Drosophila melanogaster: one gene and its partners. The protein of the gene in region 4 purifies or fractionates together with the protein of the main gene of each other region. This does not show direct contact. Each region holds a gene or a part of one and is shown on either strand. Other genes may lie near its edges.

What was found.
Region 1: the proteins of Prm (region 4) and CG14315 purify together in Drosophila melanogaster (affinity purification with mass spectrometry, with the first as the bait; one large-scale study listed by BioGRID). This does not show direct contact.
Region 2: the proteins of Prm (region 4) and Obp56d purify together in Drosophila melanogaster (affinity purification with mass spectrometry, with the first as the bait; one large-scale study listed by BioGRID). This does not show direct contact.
Region 3: the proteins of Prm (region 4) and Scp1 purify together in Drosophila melanogaster (affinity purification with mass spectrometry, with the first as the bait; one large-scale study listed by BioGRID). This does not show direct contact.

The regions. Positions count from the first base shown.
Region 1 is NT_033777.3:18,155,771-18,160,561, forward strand, and holds CG14315 (uncharacterized protein), read left to right. Parts: upstream 1-2,930; 5' UTR 2,931-2,999; coding exon 3,000-3,653; 3' UTR 3,654-3,701; downstream 3,702-4,791.
Region 2 is NT_033778.4:19,701,392-19,706,764, reverse strand, and holds Obp56d (Odorant-binding protein 56d), read left to right. Parts: upstream 1-2,849; 5' UTR 2,850-3,014; coding exon 3,015-3,062; intron 3,063-3,132; coding exon 3,133-3,480; 3' UTR 3,481-3,841; downstream 3,842-5,373.
Region 3 is NT_033778.4:2,964,402-2,971,211, reverse strand, and holds the start of Scp1 (sarcoplasmic calcium-binding protein 1), read left to right. Parts: upstream 1-3,159; 5' UTR 3,160-3,228; intron 3,229-3,867; exon of another isoform or gene 3,868-3,895; intron 3,896-4,020; 5' UTR 4,021-4,065; coding exon 4,066-4,117; intron 4,118-6,810.
Region 4 is NT_037436.4:8,741,153-8,747,821, forward strand, and holds the start of Prm (paramyosin), read right to left. Parts: upstream 4,159-6,669; 5' UTR 3,934-4,158; coding exon 3,811-3,933; intron 3,180-3,810; coding exon 3,123-3,179; intron 1,272-3,122; coding exon 1,185-1,271; intron 1,121-1,184; coding exon 954-1,120; intron 1-953. UniProt on the Drosophila melanogaster protein: Paramyosin is a major structural component of many thick filaments isolated from invertebrate muscles.

The DNA of each region.
Region 1 (4,791 bases), on a different chromosome or scaffold from region 4:
TAAAGTGGCCCGTAATCGACTGGAAACCTAAGAGATTTTCCCCCCAAAATTACCGACCGTAATGTGCGAGTTTTGCGAACCGCCCTCTTGCTGGCCGGCATGTGCGCTTTTCCAGCTCATTGTGATGGCCTCTCCACCGGGTTAGCTGTGTGCAGCCCCCGCCGGCGTTGTTGGCGCATAATTGCCATCGGATTCGGATGGTGGATGGAGGAGGCCCAGCGGGCGATGAATTATTAATTGCCGTTGATTTGCATTGAGATCGGAACGGTTCGGGATCATTACCGCGACCGGCAATCTTGCCGAGCGTACCAATCTTGCATATAGTGTAAACATAATAATCAACGGGCATTATATGCCGATATTTGCCGATATATATATATTACATACATATGCATGTGGCGATCAGCAGAATGCGCTTTTGCAAAATGGCCGGCGGTCAGCGCGGCCCCCAATTGACACCTGAGCGGCCGAGCTGCCTATTATTGCTATTTGCGCTGCTGTTGCTGCAGTTGCAGCTGTAATTGTTATTTATGCACTTGCATTTAGCCGACTGTATGTGGCATGTGGAGCAGCGCATAGCGGCCATGCCCCCTGGGATGGGCGTAACGCCAGCAATTTGCAGTGCTGCGCCAACGATTACGTAACAGTTGGGAACACTTAATTGTGGGGCGAAAAGCGACCCACAATGATGATCAAAATTAAAGTGCACTTCGTCATTATCAGTCGGAAGAAAAGAGGGTTTAGAATCCCCGATCTATTTTTATTCCTCAAAATTAAGAGCATATAATTATTAATCACAAATCACCGACAAGAAATCTTCAAATGTCAAGTAAAACTCCAAAATATATATATTTTTTGTTAATAATTAAAAACATCCCGACGTTTACTGTGTATACATATTAAATCAATATTAAATATAATTACCTTGATGCAAATACAAATATTTGGATTTCTAAACATTACCAATTAGATTTTCCAATTGGACTTTGCAGTCTAGTTGGACACACACGGACGCACGCACACGCGCAAACTTCAATATGGCGGCCGCGACAAAAACGAGACAGAAGATCCTTCTGCTGATCTTACAAAATCGGATAAATAAATAAATTTGCTAGTTTTTTTTTTGTTTTGGGCAGGGCTCGCGTGCTTAAGTTCAACTTGAAAAAGTCGCAAGTGACTACTGTGCGATCCCTGGAATCTCAAGCGGGAAAAAAATAAAGATAAAATGTGTACACAGGTACATACATACATATGTACATACATATATGTATTTATGTACGTAAGGAGCAGCTGCCCTCTTTTGTTGTTGCACTTAAAGTCGCTAAAATGCGGTGCGTTCGCTTGTCAAAATTGCAGCAGCATTCAGCCTTTTTTATGTTAAGAAGCCACAAAGAGATGACGCAGTCGAAATGGTTAAATGAATTAACCCTTTTACTTTGCACAAACACACACACACACATGTGCTTGCAACAGGCAATACAGTGGCTACAACAACAATAGCAGACAGGGCTTTGTGATTTTTCTGGCCGTTCTTGTAGTTTTTTGCCCAACACACGGATTAAGCTACACCCTCGGAAAAATATTCGACACAAAATCACGCGATTTAAACTAAAAAATAAATAAATAACACAATTGCGCGGAAACTTGGGAATACACGGCGCTAAGGATATCGATTACTTATTACTTATTACTTTTTATCGATTCGCATCGTCGGAGCATTCGCAGGGTACTGCCAACTTATCTCAATTTCCTAAAGGTCATTGAACTCAAATATATATATAAAAAAACGAATGTAGCATTGCATTTATAGCCATTGATTAATATGAAAGGAAAGTATGTATAAAAGTGCAACCAGTATTTGAACTTGCATAAGTTAAAAATCAAAAGTTAGCTTAGGTCCTATGATTACACCAATCTATTTGACCAAAGTACATAATTAAATATTACATCCAAAATTCAATTGTTCCTGTACAAGTGTACTAACTTTTTGGCGTTTCATGAGCGGCTCGTGTGTACAAACATTTATTTAAATGCTTACCCCCACCCCGTAGCCACTTCAGATGAAGCTGGAGCTGGAGCCGAATCTGAAGCTTGGAGCTTGAAGTTTGGAGCACGGTGGAGAATTGCGCGTAAATTCGTTGCGGTCTGCGCGTCATCAACGTAATCGCCGTCAACAGCAGTCAACAGCATCAAACTGGCAGGCAAATGTTGCTACTGTTTCCAGACGCAGTCCGTCCGGCCAACAGAAGCAAACGAAGCAACAGAAGCACCAACCGCCGCAGTGAAGTGGTTTTTTATGATCAGACGAGATGAGCCGAGCCCAAAGCAGCACTTTCCATCCGAGAAAGAAACCGAGGCTACAACAAAAGCGTGTCTTTCGAGTTCGCTAATGGGAACTACATATATGTATGTACATACATATGTACATTCCGGGTACAAAGTGCATTTTGTGGAAACCCTTTGGGCAGAATGTAAACCATTAACAAATTGTAGCAGACCTATGGCCTATACATTTCTTATTTGTTTTAACTGTTTTGACTCTTATAAATGAACATATTTTCAAGAATCTGAATTAAATTGTAAATTAGTAGAATGAAGCTCTTTCGAAACTACCTCGCTTTGCTCCTTCCGTTTGATCATTTGACCATTTTTGACCATTTGCTTTAGGTTATGGCATTTTGTCCATTTCGTATTGGTCATTCGGTTTTGGCCATTAATTTCGTTATATCATTTCGTTTTTGTCTTGCTTTGGTTATTTCGTTTTGGTCTTTCATCTTAGTCAGTTCGTTTTGACCATTCGTTTGGGCCGCTTATGTAGTTTTAGCCAAATCTTTTTGACCAAATTGACTTGAGCTTAGTTCCTGGCTCTACATATTCTGTTATTTTTTTTTTTTTTTAATTTTTGAGCTGGAATTAAAGCGTTTCACTTCAAACATAGTACACCTGTCGCACAGACTTATTGTAGTTAGTTTTGTCAAGCGTTCGAAGCGACTGCAGAAATGAGGGTCTACTTGTATCAAATGCGCCCGGTGCTCTTTCTCTTCTACATGGTGGAGACGACGGCCAACTTATTCGTTTTGTACTACCAACTGAAAGCATTTGTTTTCGTCAATCTGACAACGATGAAATGGGAAGATGTTCTAATCCAAAGCTTTTATATGTCCTTCTTTTACATATTCACAGTGGTAACGCTCTTTGCCAGCATAAATCTCTGCACCGGTCATCGCACATCGATCGTTGAGGAAGTTGTGCGTCCTCTGATCGGATTTGTTCTATATACGGTAATATCGTTGATGGCACTGGGCGATGCCGAGACGGATTTCTATATATGGTATGATGGAAGGAACCCGGATGATTTACTATATCCGGAGAAGCCGCTCCATCCGTTCTTCGGTAGCCTGCGGGACCAGGCGACAGCCTCATTGGTGTCCAGTGTTATCTATCTGCTGCACTGCCTCATTGCGTTGGATGTCCTTCTGTCGAATGACGATTCGGATAACGAACGCGAGTCATCCAATTCCTCCGACGATGTGAACGAAGAGGTCGACTACGTTCCAGTGCGTCTGTACGTCTTTGGCGGCGTGATGCAACGCTGGCTGGAGCAGTTCGACTGGTTTCAGGACTTTACCCACAGTGGAGTCACAGATATCTGATATTTTATCATTAACTTCATTTATACAACTACAAATTACATGATAAACAAAACTTCGCATCGCTTTTCTCGGTGATTATGCAGCCTTTGGATTTTGGTTACATTCGGTGCAAGAAACCCTAATCATCAGCATTCCCATGACGTCAGTGGGAAGCAACAGTTCGGTCTCTGCATCATATAAAGCTCATTGTCGTCAATGTGCCAGTGATAAGCAGCTGGGGCCAAAACATCTACATAAGTACGCGTATCTATAGTATCTATGTATCTTGGTACGAGTATCTGTATCTGCTAGTGCGCAGGTCCAAAGTTAAAGCGAACAATCGATATATGTACTATGATGTTTGGGGCAAAGCGGCAGTCAAGAGCAAGGTGAAGCATTGCCCCGGTGCTCCTGGGTGTGGTGCTTTTTTCATTCATAAAAAAAAACTGGTCCACATGACATGTGGACACATTCAAGGCTATTTCTAGACCAGACCAAGGATGTCCTTATGCCTCTCATAAACTATGCAATATGATTAGAAAGTCTGAATGTTTAGAATTAGTTTTATAAACTCACAAACTTCGGTGGATCAAAAAGTTTGGCCAGGTGAAGCTAATACTATGGCCTACTTTTCGGGGTTATTTTAATAATATGATTATTGCTGCCATGCTTTTGTATAAACAAATCAATTTCACACTCTTATTAAGTAACATTTTTAAGTACTTCCCCTCTTATAAAGCTTGAATTTTCCATACGGAAACCCAATTCAATCTTAAATGCTACAATTTAAATAAAAAATCACATAAATACTCGACTTTAAACAGAAGTCAAACAAAACAGCAATAAATCTGCTCAAAAATCACGCTTAACAAGAAGAAAAAACATATTTTCCGCCCACGCAATAAGCGAATGTGAAAATGTACATAAATGCGAGAGGGAAAATCGATAAGGACGCCATTCCGCAGGAGCGTCGTGTCCTTGAAATCGAAAAAGGGAAAGACCATTCATGAAGTTGGCCGAACTTTTCATGAATGAAAACGGCCAGCGAGGAGAAAAGTTGACACATTTCGGTGAGTTTGCGCACCATAATGTGCGAATTTTCCAAAGGGGAAAATGTTCTCTCTCCAATTTCACTGCGAAAACTTCCCCATTTTTTCCG
Region 2 (5,373 bases), on a different chromosome or scaffold from region 4:
TAGTTCAAAACCTACCTATCTTTAGCAAATAGGCCACTATATTTACACAAGTTTTTAGCTTACGTTTCATCTTTTCATCAGCAAATAGTATTCAATGTTCCGCGCTGGCACTGGGCCTCATTATAATTTAAATTAACTGAATTTGCTTTATTTGATTTAAGTGGCTTAGTGTTCCACTGCCTTTGTGGTCCATTGAGAATGTTCTGCTCCAGTTGTGGAAGAGCCAAGGACGCTGGATGGGGCCTTTCTGTATTTATTAGCCAACGCTGGGTTTTGACCCTAAAGGGTGCCTATCTTATCCCATCTGGTGGTGGCTCTGGTTTCCTTTCGGCCATCTCTTTTTATTTTCTGAAATTAATGCGGCAAACACTAATTAATTGCGCAGGTGTTGCAGCTGTTCCGTAGCTCTCTTGTTGTTGCTTCCGGTGTTGTTATTGCATGGGATAAGCCTAATTGAATTTCTGTAGCTTTTTGCTAGGCTTGCGGAATTGGGAGCTGGAGGTCCTATCTCGCCATTGGTTATAATTAATTACACAGCTGCCATTATAGGATACCGCTTGCATTTATTATCTTTAAATTATTGATTTTCATCAGATATGTAGAGAAACAACTGCCACAATTACCGATTTCCAGTTATTAACTGAATTGGTATTATTAACTTTTAGTGAGAGCTGAATATATTTTATTATAAACCTTGCTTTCCTTTTCTAATCTGTTGGTCTAAATAAAACTTCTGGTTCTAGTCCAAATGATTTATGAAAATTGCAACTTTAGTAAGCGCTGACCGTAATCAAATTCACGCTTTGCACTTATTTAATTGTTCTCCTTTTTAATTTCCCATAGCTAATAAATTGACTTTTATGACCGGTCATGAGAAGCTCGTAAAATTTGCATATGACTTCTAGCCGAGCTTTTGCCTTTAAGTTGGGGTTCTTCAACGGTTGACGGCATTATTATTATGTCAACGTAATGTTGTCGTCAAATAGTTTTTCGCGTGACATTTGCATTTCAGTTCAACTGAGCTGAGCTGAGTTGAGTTGAGTTGAGCCCTCGGGTCCGATGACATTTCATTAGCCGTTACCAGTTCTTCGGGCACACATATTTAATAACGTGTGCCATTGTTTTTCATTGTCGTTTTATGTGCTGTTTATATTTTTATGGCATGCCATATAGTATTTAATATTTATATTATATATGAGTCGCATGCGACATTCATTCCCGTTCTATCATGTCTACGATAAAACAGTTTTATTCCTTTCCACTACAGGAAACTTTTGGGGACAGCGAACTTCTTCACCAGGTGGAAAAGCTGGAAAAGTTGAATAGGCTACCTCCACCTCCTTGAACTGAAATCAAACTACTTGAGGAGTCAGCCACCGCTTCGTGTTTGCAGTTATTATTGTCTATAAATCGTTGGAAGGTCTCCGATAGGAGCTGTGGGGCATTATACACGATGACATTATGAATTTATTACTATTTAAATATTTTACTTTTGTTATGGCCCTGGCAGGCGACGATGGGCCGCAATAATCGTTCTGACATTTGTTTTCCCTGGCGTGCGTAACTATTTACCAGTTCGCTCCGGTAACTTCGTCTCCGAAAGTCCAGGGGGTGACCCAGGCACCGGTATATAGTTTGAGTAGGTCATGAATTATCGATGCTGTCAGCAGTAAATATTGATAAAATATATGAGGCAAAGTTCTGGCACGTAGGCATCAACTTTGGTAGCTGCCTCTATTACCATAATTAAATAATTCGGGCAGTTAGCCGACTTAAACGGTTCCGCTTAAAACTCATGCATAAATATATACATATATATACATACATCAGCAAATTACCCGAATGTCACTTTAATTGTTAATCAGCTAGACACATCTGTGCCACAAATTAATCTGCAAACCAGTTTAGTTTGATCGCACGGACTTGAGATTTTGAGAGTCATCTGAATATTTGGACTTTGATAACCGCACTTGACTTCAGACTTTGGAAAAAACCAACAAAACAATAAAAATAGGTAGGAGAACAACTGACAAAGTTAAAACAGGTTTGACGAATCAGACGTTCGTCATTAATTTTATCATGTAATATCAGACTTATTTCAAAAAAAGGGTCTATTAACAAAATTATTTAATTATTAATAATGGCATTAGAATCACCAAGAAATAATTTGTTGCGGTAATGAGGTAGCCTTATTAATATGAGACAAATTTTATAATGGTGGTATTAATAGATATATTTTGGTTATAAGGGTTATATATAGGGAATGAAGAAATATATTTAAGCGCAGACCTTATATAAGGCTTACAAATAATTCGAGCATCTCATGGCCTCCGTTAACTTATATTAAATTTTAAGTGTTACTAAAAATTTTTGTAAGTAATATAAAATGTTGCTTTTATATTCTATTCTCTAAAACTCCCCTATCATGCTTTGCATGCACTTTGTTTTAACACCTCCATAAAAATCAACGTTAGATTGTATTTCAAGTTTAAGGTTTTGGAGTTACGTGTATTGTTAAATCAAATTAGTTGACGTTGACGCTTCGCTGGGCACTCTGACCCTTGGGAAGTACAACACACTTTTAATCGGTGGAAAATCTGAAACTACAATTAGCACTTACATTATGGCTTTGAAGCGATTTTAGCCTAATAATAAGCCCGAGTCTGGGGCATTAGGGCCAATTATAGGTACAATGGAAAGCCGCAGTGAACTTGCTTCATTTACTGATTCGAGTATCTGTTGAACTTTAAACCGAAATGGTAAAAAAAAGTGAGTCAGTTTCGGGTTATCAACAAGATCGGAGAGGGTTTAAGTAAACTAACCGGTGTATTGCCGTGTGTATGTGTAATAATTGCTTATACAGTGTGATCAGCGGAGTAGAGCGAAAACAAAAAGCGATAATCAAAACAAAACTCTGACGAAGCTGCATGCAAAATCGTATAAAAGGCAGATGCTAACAGAATAAATTCAACAGTTTCGATACCAAAGGGTTTCCAACAACATCTCTACCGAAAATGAAGTTCCTGATTGTCCTCTCCGTCATTTTGGCCATTTCGGCTGCTGTGAGTTACAAATAGTTTCTGATTTAAAGGGGTAGTATTGCTAAGTGTATCTTTTGAATATATCTTATAGGAGCTGCAACTATCCGATGAGCAGAAGGCTGTGGCCCATGCCAATGGCGCCCTTTGTGCCCAGCAGGAGGGAATCACCAAGGATCAGGCGATCGCCTTGCGAAACGGCAATTTCGATGACAGTGACCCCAAGGTGAAATGCTTCGCCAATTGTTTCTTGGAGAAAATCGGATTCCTGATCAATGGTGAGGTCCAGCCCGATGTCGTTCTGGCCAAGTTGGGACCCCTGGCCGGCGAGGATGCCGTGAAGGCCGTTCAGGCCAAGTGTGATGCCACCAAGGGAGCGGATAAGTGCGATACTGCCTATCAGCTATTCGAGTGCTACTACAAGAATCGCGCCCACATCTAAGCGCCAAATCTCCGATATTCTCCTGTGTGATAATCTGTCTGTGACTTGTTACTTATATTGTTTTAATTCAGTATATCAATTCGTAAACAAAATTTTTAGATCTGTAAATGTTTTGAATAATAAACTCAAGAATATATTTCGTTTTTAAAAAAAAACTTGACAAGAAACCTTTGCGAGACTATGTTCCAAATAGAAGATCATGCTTAAAGCTTTTACATAACTCTCCTAGAATCTCACTTGGCATTTGTTAATATTTTAAATATTAATGTTAAACGTTTGATCAAATAACTTTTTAGCTGTCCAACAAAAACTTAAAGGAACCTTCCAGGAAAATAACTTACGTAAACCCCTAACAGAGAACGCCTTTTATTGTGTCTCAAAGGAAATTAAGGTGAAATTCTTATACATAATTACTTATGCATATTCGACTTGTCAATGGATGCTCCACTGTATGACCCATTTGCGTTTTGGCCGCGTACCCATTTGCATAACAGTGGGCCGTCATTAAGGACCAACCACTGTCAGACCGTCGTCAGGGGCTTAAGTCCCTGGTACAGAGCGGCGATCCCAGAGGCATTTGGCCGCTCATGTTTGGCATAAATATTGATGAGCGACGGCAAACTTATTGGCACAAAGACCTGGGATCCCGGCGATACAGGATGCGTTGGGGTTCGAGCAAATGAATTGGACACGGGGAGCCGTGTTTTTAAAAGCCCAAATCCAATTAACAAATCATTAAACATTCATTGAGCACGTGTCGCAATTGCATTTACTGGTTCAACATGGATCAGGTGGCATCGGAGGGAACAATTGTTCCGACTTTGGCTTTGACTTTGGCTTTTGGGGAGTTTGGATCGCAGCCAGGGTCCATAATTCATTTTGTCACTTCCTGGGGTCGGTCTGGCTGTAATGTCACTTCCATTTAGCATCCGTTTCAGTTGCAGTTGTCTGCACAAGAGCTGATGGCCGATGGCCGATGGCCTTCCCGGCCAACCGAACAAACAATCACTGATGCGTTTACTAATGTCTATTAAAAAGGCAGCCCAATCGAAGGATTCCACCCCCCCGAGCTAATGCATTTAAGTAGACAGCCATGGCGGCTTGTCAAAGGAGCCAACACGCGTGAGATGGTAGCACATTGATGCTCGACATCAGCCTTTGTCTTGGCCGTCTTGTTTGACTTGTCTTGCTCCCGTTAGTTGGCTTTCAATGGCCAAGGACCAAGGATATCGCTGGAGTTGGGGTTGAGTGCTGATGCTTTGAAGGGGGAGGCTTTCCCTGCGGTTCTCACATTAATGTAATTTAATTTTATAAAAACTTCGCTGCAGGGTGGCTGCCACTTGCTTGTTTCATGCTCCGATGTCTCTCGCTTTTTGTCCGTCCATGTGAAGTTTCTTTGATCTTAAAGACCAATATGTGATGTGGCTGGGGATGCTGCGGTTGTGTTTCCGATTATCAGCAGAAGTCTGTTATTAAGTCCGTCAATTAGAGTGGTCCAAAGAAAGAAGGAGTTCAAGTAAACCAGTTGCTGTGGCTTGAACTAATGTGATTGAATTTGTTTGCAATACAACTAGACTAGTAAGGAATATAATAATTTTATCTTAGAAGGAAAACGTGTTCTATGTACTATCATTTTTCCGCATACAGCTTGTAACCACTTCCATAATCTAATTAAAACTTCTGGTTGTATTTTTTTATGTTTCCACAACTACAACAAGAAAAACCCACATTGCTTGCAAAAACAAATTAGTCAAAAATTACAATGATTATTTTAATTGAAATTGCCAACAATGGTTGTACCGTTTTTAAAACACCTTTATAGAGCAGTACTTAAATGTTTTGTAGATTCATCTACCAAATTGAACCTGAAACTTTTTGCAAACCTTTTTGTAT
Region 3 (6,810 bases), on a different chromosome or scaffold from region 4:
ATAATTTAAGGCTGACGGAAGCGAAAAAAGCGAAGCGAAGCAAGATGCTAAGAGCAAAGCGAGAAGATCGCAAAGTGAGAGCTTAGCGAGAAACGAGCTACATTGCTTTTTTTTTTTAGTTATTCGTGTGAACGTGATGGATTCGGACGGGGAATTTCTTGCATCAAGCGCAACTATTAACTTTCTGTTAAAATAAAACTGGCGTCCACTCTAACTTAACTAAAGCGATAAAGCAGGTTTCAAACTGATCTCTCGCTTTATCGCATGAGCTCACAACTCGCTTCGCTCTCACTCTGACATCTTTCGCGCGATTGTACTTAAAAATTCATGCAGTGTTTTATCGCTCGTTCTCGCCCAATAATATCGCATCGCTTCTCGAACTTACTCTGCCGTCAGACCCTTAAAAGTTATCTTTATGAAAAAGCAAAGAGTAAGATTTTTACAGATCATCAGCCCCTAGCGTATTCTCTGCATAGCTGTAATGGAAATGCCAGAATTAATAGATGGAAAGCTTAGCTAGAGGAGTATCATTACACGCTATTCTAAAAACCAGGAAAAGAATATATTTTCGCAGACGTGCTCTCAAGAATACCATTACACCAGATTAACTCTGTTTCCTTTACGCAACATAGTGCTGAAAGTTCTAGCCATGATCTAGTATTGTAGTTCATGTTGAAACAGCAATATATGTTCTTTAAAATCTAAAATTCTTTTACAATCAGACAGATCCAACTTCAGGCTTACATTTCCACTTCCAACCTTCCATAAACATAAAATATACAGTCCGGAATATACTACATACAAAATAAGAGCAGACCTAAAGAAACATCTCAACCCATCCGTAATAAACTGCATCCACATGACTGAACAATATTATTGAAAACTACAGACAATCTACCGAAGACACACCGTTACCGTTCAAATAGAACGGTTCCATTTGATTCCATTCGACACTTTCCGAAATACTGAGATGCCTCAAAAGAGGAGGTTCAGATAGAAATTTACAAAAACTTTTAGAAAGAACAAGTTATAAGTACAATTACGGTTTCTATTCAGTTACAAAGGAGCGACCATTAGAAGTATTCAGAAAAGTGACCCAAACTCGGACCAAAACGAAACAGCCAGACAACACATTTTGAAGACTTATCAAACAGAAACCAGACCTCGGAAATCATAATAAAAAGAAAAGGGAAATACGTAATTATCAATAATAATAGTTCTTAAATTGGCTAGGTCCCAGGTGAAAATACATAGCGGCCACTCCAGATCACGATGACCTGGTCATAATAGAGCAGAGCTCATTGACAACAATAACCAACAAGTCATTGTTTACAAACAAGAAAGAATAAACAAACTGACTACAGTATCTAAAGCTCTAACAATTTCTATACAAAAGGGCAGTTCCGTTCGTTTAGAAATTGCTCTTAGTTTACAAACCCAGATTAGACTCCTAAAAGTAGAAACTGCCATCCAGTGGGCGCGACAAGAGGTCGTAACACACTAGTACTAAATGAAGATGAATTAATTGAAATAGAAAGAATATTTAAGGGAAACAACATGTTATTACTATCGATGAAAGAAGCTATGGCGTTTTCCGAGGTCTCTATTCTACATAATAAGACAACACATTTGTACATCGTAAAAGTCGCAAACTTTATAGAAATACTAAGATATCATTGTAAAACCAATAGTTAAAAACAACAGAACTACAACAACTTAGACTTTCAAGAAATCTTTGCTTTCGAAAATCTTACCTATATATACATATATAAATATGCGATGAGAAAAAAATTGTAAATATAAGAAATTAATTAATTAAATTAGTTGATTGCTCTCCAAATTTAGTTCTGGGAAAGAAAGATCTGTGTAGTTTTAGCAACTCCGACAACTTATCCAGAATGGAAGAGGTCGACGACGGAATCATCCTATTAAACGATTACGATGGAATCATATCCTGGATCCTCACAGAGCTTCACCTACTTTGTTTAGCTATCAAACGACTCGATGATTATCGACAACAGGGGGATTCGCCAACTTGGAACCTACAGCCCTGTCTCCTAGTTCGCCTCTTGTACAATTTACAGATGAAGAAAAAGAAAGACTGAGGTTATATCTCTTGAAACACTGAACCGTTGCATATACATAAAAGGCCAACAGCATAACCCTACTGACGCTCTTCGACAATACTCTGATTATCATCCTGGGCCTTCACACCTATAGTCAAAGGAAGAGAAGCATAAACTTGCAGCTTAGACCTATACCGGGAATGGAAACAAAAGTTAACATCAGCTACCTCAGTTCAATAACATTCCCTACATAAATTAGAAAGTTAAAGTTAATAACAATGAATTCAACATCGGTCTACAACAGAATGTAATAGAGTAACAAACCCCAAATATGCAAGCTCAGCGCCACCAAGCAGATTTCCCAAAATGTGTTTGGCAATTGTTTCCGCTCCCACCAGCGCTTGTGATTCCAAGAAGCCGACGTCGATCCTCTGCCAATAAGGACAGCACAGCCGACAGCTAAAGACTCGCAGCTTATAAAGACGATGTTCTCACTTAAGTTTATAGTCCAACTCTTTTAATGCTCGTTACTCATAGAGTAAAAGGGTATACTAGATTGGTTGAAACAGGCAGAAGAAAGCGCTTCCGACAATAAAATGTATATATATTCATGATCAGGATCAATGTATCGATTTGCAAAAAAAAATTTTGCCACGCCTACTCAAACGCCCCAAAGCCGACAAGCCGGTCACCCCCGCACTTTTGAAAAATTGTTAGATATTTTTCATAATTTTATTGGTCGTGTATATTTCTATTGATTTGCCAAAAAACTTTTTGCCACGCCCACTCAAACGCCCTAAAGCCACCAAACCGGTCACGCCCACACTTTTTTAACAATTTTTTATTTTTTTTTCATTTTATTTTTTTTCTAATATCAATCAATCAATCGATATCAATCGATTTTCCAGAAAAATTATGAACTTTCGCGTTAGCATTGACCCTAGCTTAGTTACTGGTATCTGATAATCAGGGAACTCGACTATAGCCTTCTCTCTTGTTTTATATTATTATACCCGTTACACGTAGAATCAACGAATCTAATTTTACTCTACACGTATGGGGCATAAAAACATATATATATTTTCTTATATGTATATATATTGTTTTTATATAATATTATATCTTAACAGTAATAGACAACTATAGACCGCCGATCACAATGGTAATAAGACATAAAACTGTACATTTGAATGTTGAATATTGTATCTCCTATATATGTATATGTATATGTACATAAAACCGAAAATAAGAATTGTGAGTTTTATAAAATGTGTGCTTTATAATAGGTTATGCATGTACTATAAATATATACTTGTGAATATACATGTGTGTAAGCTTGCAAAAATAGTAAATATTTTTCTATTAATAATCATGTCAATTAATTATCAATTCTTTAAATGTTAAAATGATTTTTGATATATTTTACTATTAGTGTTCAAATACAAAATTAAATAGGGGTGAATTGTTCGCTTTTTTTCCATTTTAAATGGTTAATTAGAGCATAATCTATATGGAAACTTTCACGAATAACATTGTAACAGGTAGGCTTAATATTTGGTAGTAGAAAACTGAATTGTTATTGATTGTGATTTCAAAACAGTGCTATAGTTTACTTAATACAATAATTACATTTAGTACAATGGAAACTCCTAATTAAAAATAAACTACCTTTTGAAAGAGAACAAATATATACAAATGCACTTTCTATACAATACACATTTGTATGTATAATGTTTAGATACATACCATGTAAATAATGTTGCCAAAGTGTACGACTTTTGGCAAAAGGTTTAGCAAATTTAGTTAGTCTGAAGTAAGCTATTCCGAAGGTAAGGAGCTCATATTTACTATTCAAGAACTTTTTACCTAAAAGTACTATTTATAGATACCAAAAAATTTTAATTTATTTATAGACTTTTATTAGTTCAGATAGTAATGGTATTTCTACTTTTAGCTATTTACATTTTATGAGGATAAGCTCCAAACAAATTCCGTCATAATGGCTTATTCCTGGGATAACCGTGTCGATTTTGTCGTTCGGTATATGTATGGTGAGTAGAAAAGGACTTAGGCTTATTAAACGTATCCTATAGTGAATTAAAATACCTTAAAAATTTACGTATATTTTATACAAAAAATTTAAGTTTATATTCCATTGCATTGAATACATAAAGCCATTTTTATACATATCTTCGGAACTATCCGAAATCCGATATTTTAACAATATATACATTTTATTTTAATTTTATTTAATATGGGACGACTATATCATATAGCTGCATTAAGAACTGCTTGAAAATTAAACACCCAAAATAGAATATAAATAAAAGTTTCGTTTTTTAACACTATGGGTGCTAAGTAGACATATATGTTTTTGTAATTACTGAAAGGGTATTTGGATAGGATTAATCAAATTTGCAAGCGCACAAATACAATAAAAATAACATTTACAATTGCTGCGGATCAGATTTATGTAACAATCTCAAGTCTGGCAATTTAAATGTTGCGCCATATTTATGATGTAGTTTTATAATCCGTTAAAATGAGGTCACATGGAACCGGTCAAGTGGTCATTGCAGCTTATATGAGGTTAAGCCAAAGACATTTGAAGAACAAGATGCGTAACGCCATACAATTTTTTGCACACAATTTTATCGGGATGGCTCCAGAGGTGGCTCAGCAGTTCTTTTCTACGCATACAGTGACAGCCGACAACTGTATGGTAATGCATTGTAAATTTGACAATTTACAAGTTCATAGACTTTACATCTGTATTATCTTTGTTTAATTGGCAACATGTAAAAAATTCTTGGCTTGCATGGCCTTAACCAAAGACCCTAGTGTCTAGTTTCTTTGCCTTAACTATATTATTATTTGAATATATATGTACATAATATCACAAAATAAATTTCAAAGATGACTATATTAGAACAAAGGTTATTAGGGCGTTCACTTGCCCCTTGTGAAAAATTAATAAGGCAATCATTGTTGCAATAAACGTGTTCGTGTCTCAAGATATGACTTTTGCAATAAAAAGTTTTCATATTTTTATTCATTTTATAAATATTTATTTTCTACTACTTATTATTTTTGTGAAATATCTTTTCCTCAATGTAATGACTTCTTTTTGGAAAAGTTATGTTTTAATTTAAAATTTTATTATTTTATTTTATTATCCGTTTGATTAAAGCTGACTATACGCCGAGCTTCTCTATTTTTTGAAAGTTTCGCTATATAACCTAGTTTATATATTTAATTAAAGTCGTTTTGTTGCAATATCGTACTTTAGGTGATATATTCAAGGTGTAAATTCGTAATTATTATTTTATTTTATCATATTGCTAAGAAATTGGGTATACTAGGGTATACTAGACTCGTTGAAAAGTATGTAACAGCCAGAAGGTAGCGTTTCCGACTATATAAAGTATATATATTCTTAATCAGGATCAGTAGCGGACATGTCCATCTGTCCGTATGAACGTCGAGATCTCAGGAACTATAAAAGCTAGAAGGTTGAAATTAACCATACAGGTTCTAGAGATAAAGACGCACACTCATTTTTTCATATTTTTATTAGGCTTTAAAATTTCTATGGATTGGCCACAAAACTCTTTGCCACGCCCACTCTGACGGCAGGTTACAGCTAGGTTATGTTGATCATTAACCGAAATTATATTAGGCTAAGTTAAGCCGAGCTTTAAATCTCTCTAAATGCCTATGGGACTCTTGTGGACTCCAAATGGCAACCTCAACTTCACTTGGTCGTAGGGAAAATATTTCAGAGTGTTCAGACAACACGGTTTTCGAGTGTTCGCTTGGATCTCCAATCGCTAAGCTATGAAATCACTGAAATCTATATTCATTGTTAATGGTTTACAATATTAATCTTTGTGCAAATTAAAAGTGTTCCTTTTTAATTATTTGAACAAAAAATTTTTATTTTATTATAATTTAATATTTTATTCATGATAGACCTTTTCACTTATACTATTACAAGACATTCTTTTTATCTCTTGTCTTAAATTTAAAACTGTTCACGATCTCGTCCCGATTCAGACTGATCTTCTAAATATTAATCCTAATCCACTCAACCTTGGCCAGAAGCTTTTCTTTAGGATTTTCTTGAACTGTAAAATATGTTTAGGGTAAAAGCTTTATACTGAAATTATTTCACAGCATTGTGAAATTCAAATTTGTTGACTAGTGTTTACTTTAAGTTTGGTTATTCATCGGGTGGCTAAGTGATGGCGACTAAACGAGGACAAAGGAAATGCTGATGAGATTGGAGTTTTAAATTTGTTTATCAACTGGGTCAGAGTGCTATATTTACGGGTTGGATAACTTGCACATTTGTGCTTTTAAGTCAACTCGCACGTCCACGACGGTTGCGAGTTTCTTACAACTGCTGCTTCTCAGCGCTTGACATTTAAACGATTGACATGTGAGAGATAGCGGGAGCACAATACTACTGTTATAAGCTGGCGGTACAATATATACATTTACATATAAATGCAGTGGTTCATACAGATGCTGGGTTTCTTTGGTTTTTGGAGCATTATCTACGGCGTAGGTAAATCTGGGCGCAGGGTCGAAATAATATTTTCGAACTTACGGCACGGCGGCAACATTTTATTTGTCGACTTAACACATATTAATATTTCTCCTATTTGTTTTCCATAAAAAAGATAATCTTTTAAATATTTATCTATTAATATGAAAATTTATTTTTGTAAGGATAAGCTAA
Region 4 (6,669 bases):
TGGGTTGGAGCGTTGGTGCGAGCGAGAGGGAGTGATGCAGGGAGGCGGTGGGAGCGGAATGGCAACAGCAACAAAGAGCCTCTCTGTTCAAGAATGTGGATGAAAATTTCAAAATTTCTATAAATAAATTTCCGCTCAGAAAGAAAATATGGTATGGGGTGGTGGGCACAACATATGGAAGAAAGTTTCGCTGTGCGAAAGCTTTCCAAAGCTTTTTCGATAGAGTGGGACGGCTGCTTGATCTTCCGACCTTCTGTCCTTGTCTACGAACGGAAGTGCGCAAACTCGGGCGCACCTATCTTAAAGGTGGAAATCTTAAAGAACGGTAAAGAAACTCAACTTTGAACTTGATTTAATCTTAGGATATGAGTTGATTTTGATTTATCCGAATGCATATTAATCTAAATGACTCGTTATCTTTTGATAGCCTTGAATTGTTGCGATTTCAAAATTCCTAGGAATTTATTTTTGGAAATCGCTCGCATCGATTTGGAAATATGAGAGGCGGCCAGCAACCGAAAGTTTCTCGAATTTTTTTCTCATTCGTTTGGCCTTTCGGCCGCGATTTGTGCCAATAGAACTTGCAAGCCATGCAGGTTTATGTTTTCTGATTTTTTTCGCTTTGCATTTCGCATGTCATGGCATTTTGATGAATGGTTTATGATCTGCTTCGATTTTCTCTGTTTTTTTTTTTTTTTTTGGGTCAACGGGGCAGCGCAAGGTTAGGCATTGTATTGTTTAGTTACTGCACGAGATCTCGAGACATTGAAATGTCCGCAAGAGCCAGCTGACGCCACTTGATCATCATCATTGGGGGCAAATAAATATGTTCTGCGGATGCATGACAGCTCGGGATGGAGATGTTTATGTTTTGGATATGGTATGGTTTCTGGGTCAATGGAATGGAAATGGGGACGTCGGTGGCGATGGCCAGAGCCTGTTGCAATGCCTACCTGGCCTTGTTTTTCGTTAGGATTTCAACCTGTTCCTGGAAATCCGTGATAATTTCGTTGTGCTTTTTCTTCAAAAGCAAAGTGGTCTCCTCCGACTCAAGATGAACATCCTCAAGCAGCTTGCGCAGCTTCAGCAGCTCAGCGTCGCGCTTGCGGTTGGCTTCAAACTGGGATTGGAAGATACATCAGTTATGGCTGGATTGCAATATTGGTTTACCACATGGTACTCACTTGATGTTCAGCACCACCCTCGGCCTCCTCGAGACGCTCGGACATCTGAATGACCTGAACGCTGAGATCGGCTTTCTCGCGCTCGATCTGAAATTTGAAGAATATAAGCAGAGATTAAGAAGAGATTTCATTAGCGACTTGGTATAATGTGAAGGATCTATAAATACCCTGCGCTAGCCATGCTCTGTGGCTACTCAAACAGCCCATAATAAAAATTATAAATCACATTAATCAGTCAAAAATAATTATGCACATGCAACACCTAAAATAACAATGGCATCTTGCCAAGAAATCTTCCACGCAGAGGTGTAGCCATAGTCCGATTGCATCCACGATATATGCGTCTATATATGCGTATATATCTTTTGTGGGCGGCCGCACACCGCTTTCCTAGATTGCATTTCCAAAAAGGCATTCGAACATTTTTCGCTTGAACAGAAACATTTTTTGTTGGCTCCCTCGGAATCTAAACATTTGCTTTTCGCCTTTGTCGACGACCTCGTTTGGTCAATTTTGCGAATTGCAATTAAATGCTATTTTATGAAAGCTATGTGCGGCCATTGGGATTTCTGGTATTTGGAGCTGTCCGAAGCAATCATAAAAAATTCAGCTAACTGAAATGCCCCAAGCTTAAATAAAGAACGTATTGGTCTGATAAATCTCTTTTAAATCTCTCGCTGAATATGTTTGTACATTTATGTTTATGATAATACCTAGGCGAACATGTGTTTGTCCGTTCATTTGGCATAACAAAAAGTTGCCGATTGCCACAAAGGCCACGTAAGTACGGGCCGTAAATCCATTTGCGCCATATGTATCTTGTAGATACATGTTTTTGCCGCCTATATATGCATATGTGGATATGTAGAAAGAATGCCAGGCGGTGTGAAGACTTTTAATGTGCATGAAAATTATTTAATTTTCCCACAGACACACGCCCACAGACAAAAAGCGAAGATTTTCCCGTAGTGAGCGAGCGAATTTTCCTCTCTGCCGCCGCTGATCATGAAGATGGTGATGATGATGACTTTTTGGCTACTTTATTTTCTTTTCTTCTCTGCTCATATTTTGGTTGTTTTCAAGTTAATCATTCGCTTCTCTGTATTGAATGTCGTGCGCTAATTTTAGCCATTTTGTTCCATATATTGTGAGTGTGTGTTGGGGGGCGTTGTATCTGTGTGCGAGTGCGTGCTAATCCATAAGGCACAAAGTAATTAAATTTGATTTTTTAACAAAATTTTCAGAACATTCCTGGCCAGCCCATTCCATTCCGGCAAGAGCTCTTCGCATTTTCTAAATTTGTAACGCCCAAGAGGATTGCGCTGAATGAAGTGCACTTTCGGCCTGCGAATTTTCCCACTTTTCTCTGGCTGTTCCTGACTTTGCTGTCTTTGCGGCCGCTGTCTTTGCAAAGTCAGGGGAAAAATCATTTATCAATGCTCCGCAGGGAAGGAAAAGCCAAAAACGAAAGCGATTGAAGTTCAATGCACATCATTATCATTTACTTTCACACTTTCGAAACTCTACGAAGGGTAGTTTATTCTTAGATTTGCATTTGTTTGCTGACTTTTCTATCGGTTCTATCGCTACTGCTACTTTGGTCTATTTTGATTTTATTTTGGCTTTCCACATATTTTTGCTGTTTTTAGGGTGACATTTGCGAGGTGAAAAAAGTAAAAATGGTTTTCCCTGGCGCTTTGATTTCCATTGGGTCTCGGAGAATGCGGTCTGATCTTTTCTAACTTCCTCGGATATGTCATATCTCTGACGCCGATTTCATCAGCAAATAATCTTATTGACTAAAAACGATGCTCTCAATAAATTAAGAATGTTCAAAAATATTCCAAAGAAACCTATAGTAATACCTTAAAAATACTCGGTTCAAAAATAACTTAAAAATATTTAAAATTATGAATATTTCCATATTGAATGACTCACCCTTTGGCGCAACTCACGTTCAACTTCAAGATCATCTTGGAGCAAACGGATCTTGTCCTGCAAGAAAATGGTGGATACATTTATTGAGTTTGATCTTTTATGGGCTCGTTATTTCATATTATTTGATTAAAACATTCATTAAAAAGCACTTTACAGCACAGTTGATTGATTTCTTCACAAATTTTTCTTCGATGTTTTCTCGTGTATATGTATTGCCCAGAGGTGGCCATTACATAATTTTTTAGCAATGCATATGTATATACAGACACGTTTAGATACATATACAAATCTAGAATTTTGCTTCACCGAATTTTCTATATTTCCACACACAAGAACGCGCCGAGAACTTAACACACGAATATATATCTACGGTATATATGTGCATTTGATATAGAGTGTAGATGAATTTTTCGGGTTTCTTAGTTTGTTTTTCGTATTTTTTCTTGATTATATTCCGATTCTTTTTCAGTCTCTACACAGACACCGAAACAAGAGAGAGAAATTCTCGTAGATTTTGAAGAAAATTTGGCGCACACGCATTTCGTATTCCTATTCCCTGGTCGGAATTCCAACGTCTTTTTGGGGATTTGGTGCCCAATACGATGCCGATTTCTTAAACGATACCGGTCCGCTTCCAATTACGAATTCGAATTCGAGATTCCGAGACGGAGCGGGACGGGATCCTTACCTCCAAGCGGGAGAGCGAGCTCAGGTCCTGGATGTACTCGATGTTCACATCGGCGGTACCGGGTCCGGTGGACGTGGCACGGTAGGAGTATTTCGAGGAGCGGACAGCCTGCGATGACGACATGTTTGCTAGGTCAGATTTTCGATTTTGGTTCTATAAATTAATGTGCGATCGGTTCGCGTATCTAGTATTATGATTTGTGTGTTCCTCTCAAGCGAAAATCTATACAGCACCGCACGCAGTTTTGTAGTTGTCACCGAGTCACCGAGAAAATTCGTAATAAACGTCGGAGTAAGGCTGGTGATCTACTGAACAAGAGATCCCGTTGTCGTTCGAATAAAGAGTATTTCGTTGAATTGGTTTGGCCTGCCAGCTGAATTCGTCTATTTCAACGATTTATTCGGTTCCCTTCGGGAGCCTTCGGTCGCCGTCGGGCGCCATCGGCTCCCCGCCGATCGGATCCGAGTGGGATATACCCTGAGATATATCTATAAGCCACCACCACCACCTATGTGAATGTGAGTGGGACTTTCGAGTGACTTTTCACGCGGCCGTGTTGTTGTGTTAATTGCTCAGTTGTGTGGAAAATTCTTTGATTTTTCATTTCACTTGGGCCGAAGCTTGTGTGAACGCATTTTCACGCTAGTTTGCCTGAGAGCTTGCCCCCTACGAAAATAAACTCAAAAACACGAAGTACGCCTGCTTTTCTTGTCTTTTCTTTTCTATTGCTTACCTGTAATTAGCCTGTGTCATTTGTGCGTTTCATTTTGTGTATCTAGCGTCTGGCCAGAATGTATCTACACATAAATTTTCCCAATTCTCGAACGTACATACATATAAGTCATGTTGAAATATTTGGCATCCTCTGCAGATCATAAAGTTCATAATTTATATTTATTGGCACATTTTCTTGGTTCAGGGGCCTCGGATATTATTTAAAAGGTAGTGCCAAACCAGTATTCCAGCACGTAGTCCCTAGACTATAAAGATTGAGATATAATTCTGGGAGCAAACTTAAATAGAATGATTTGACTTTTGGAAACGGTTTCTAGAACATTAGAACATCTAGAATATTGAATACATTTAAGCGTTAGAGACTATATATGTAAATATTTGAATCGATTGATTTCAAATTGATTTAGCATATATTATTATCAAAAAGAAAAGAGGCTAGAGCATGAAACCCCAGCCAAATATAGAGCCCAAATATATATGCTATACAGATCTCAGGGGTATTACAACATTTTTACACAAGCAGAAAAATCATAAAAGTGTCAAAATTTTCTATGATATGCCTTCTAAATTATTCGCTAACAGCCAATTAGGATTACAGCAATGTTTTCTAAAAATACTTGACTTTTGGCATCGAAACGTGTTATTCGCCAGCATAAATAAATAGACGTAGAGAGTGTGTGAAAAAAAATTGTGCGAAATAAACAAAAATATACAATTTTGAGTGAATCCTTGGCCGTGCGGACAGCAGTCTGCTCAGCCTCAGACAATGCGATGTCATCTAACAATTGTTGTTCAATGGTCACGTAGATGACTGTCTCTGCATTATATCTTTTTGGCAACTGACGGGTCTCTCCATGTGCCCCCATAGTAAATACATATTGTGTAAATAATTTCTGTTACATTGCGAACACGCTTCGTTCGGCGATTTTTGGCTCACTTTTCCAAAGGAACCGAAGCTTTTCGAGTGAAAATTCTCGTTCGTCTTCGAGCGATCTCCTCCACCTGTGCTCCACACACAAACACACATTTGCCTAACTATACTTAAAAATGAATTTTCGCTTATTTTTAGCAACCGAATTTCGTGTTATTTGTGCCTTTTTTCTCGGCTTGCTCATAATCGTGTTCATTTTCCACACACATTTCACCTGAGGCCAACTGACGCACACATCTAGAGCTCTAGATGGGCTAACCATCCTTATATATTAGAGCAGTTTCTTGCTCCGTTCGCATTCGTATCTTTTAGATACTTGGCTCTTTGCTGGCCATAACTTTATTTATTTTATGCATGCATATATACAATGTTGCCGCTACCCATCTGTATATATAAGTGCGCGCCAGGCAGCCGTAGAATAATATTTAACATTTTGTGTGTTTGCCACATTTTGGAATGTGTAATAATTTAAAAATAACCTGGCGAATATGTAGCAAGCCATTCGCCGATAAATAAGTCAGCCAAAAATAACACAAAGCCAGACAAGAACGACACCTTTAGTCAAAGAATCCCATTCTCATCAAGATTTGAGTTCTATGCGTAGTTGATGCCCGCTTGCCAGGTGTCTGTGTGTCTGTTTTCCGGCCCATTGCCCATCATTTTACAGCTGCACTGAGGTCAGTGATGGGGACAGGATCTCCTGGCTCCCCAATCCCCAAATCCACACACCCCAATCCCAACCCCATTCCCCAACTACCTACCTACCTCCACCTTAAGACAGAAATCACTCAGCGGCCATTGGGTGTCTTCTAATTCTTTCATGTTTCGTGTGCCAGCTATACAAAATTAGGTCAAAATTGTTATGATCACAGATACTCACATGCACACACATCGCGGTGCCCGCTGCTATGCAGCTATATATAGATCGACTTCAGCTTTATAGAGTGTGTGCCTACTTGACGCGCAGCCACTTTCTGCAAGATACTCCTCTTTTTGCCCAGGAGTGGAGCTGAGTGGAGCAGTGGAGTGGAGTGGCTGCTAGATAAGCTCAAGTGGGCGCCATCCGAGGTTCCAACGAGGTGGGTGGCGCTGAAAACCACCAGTAAATATATAAATAGCTCCCTAATGCATTCAGAAACAAACAACAAAGGGGCTTTAATGCGTTACAGTTCCCTGGAAAATCGACCACTTTG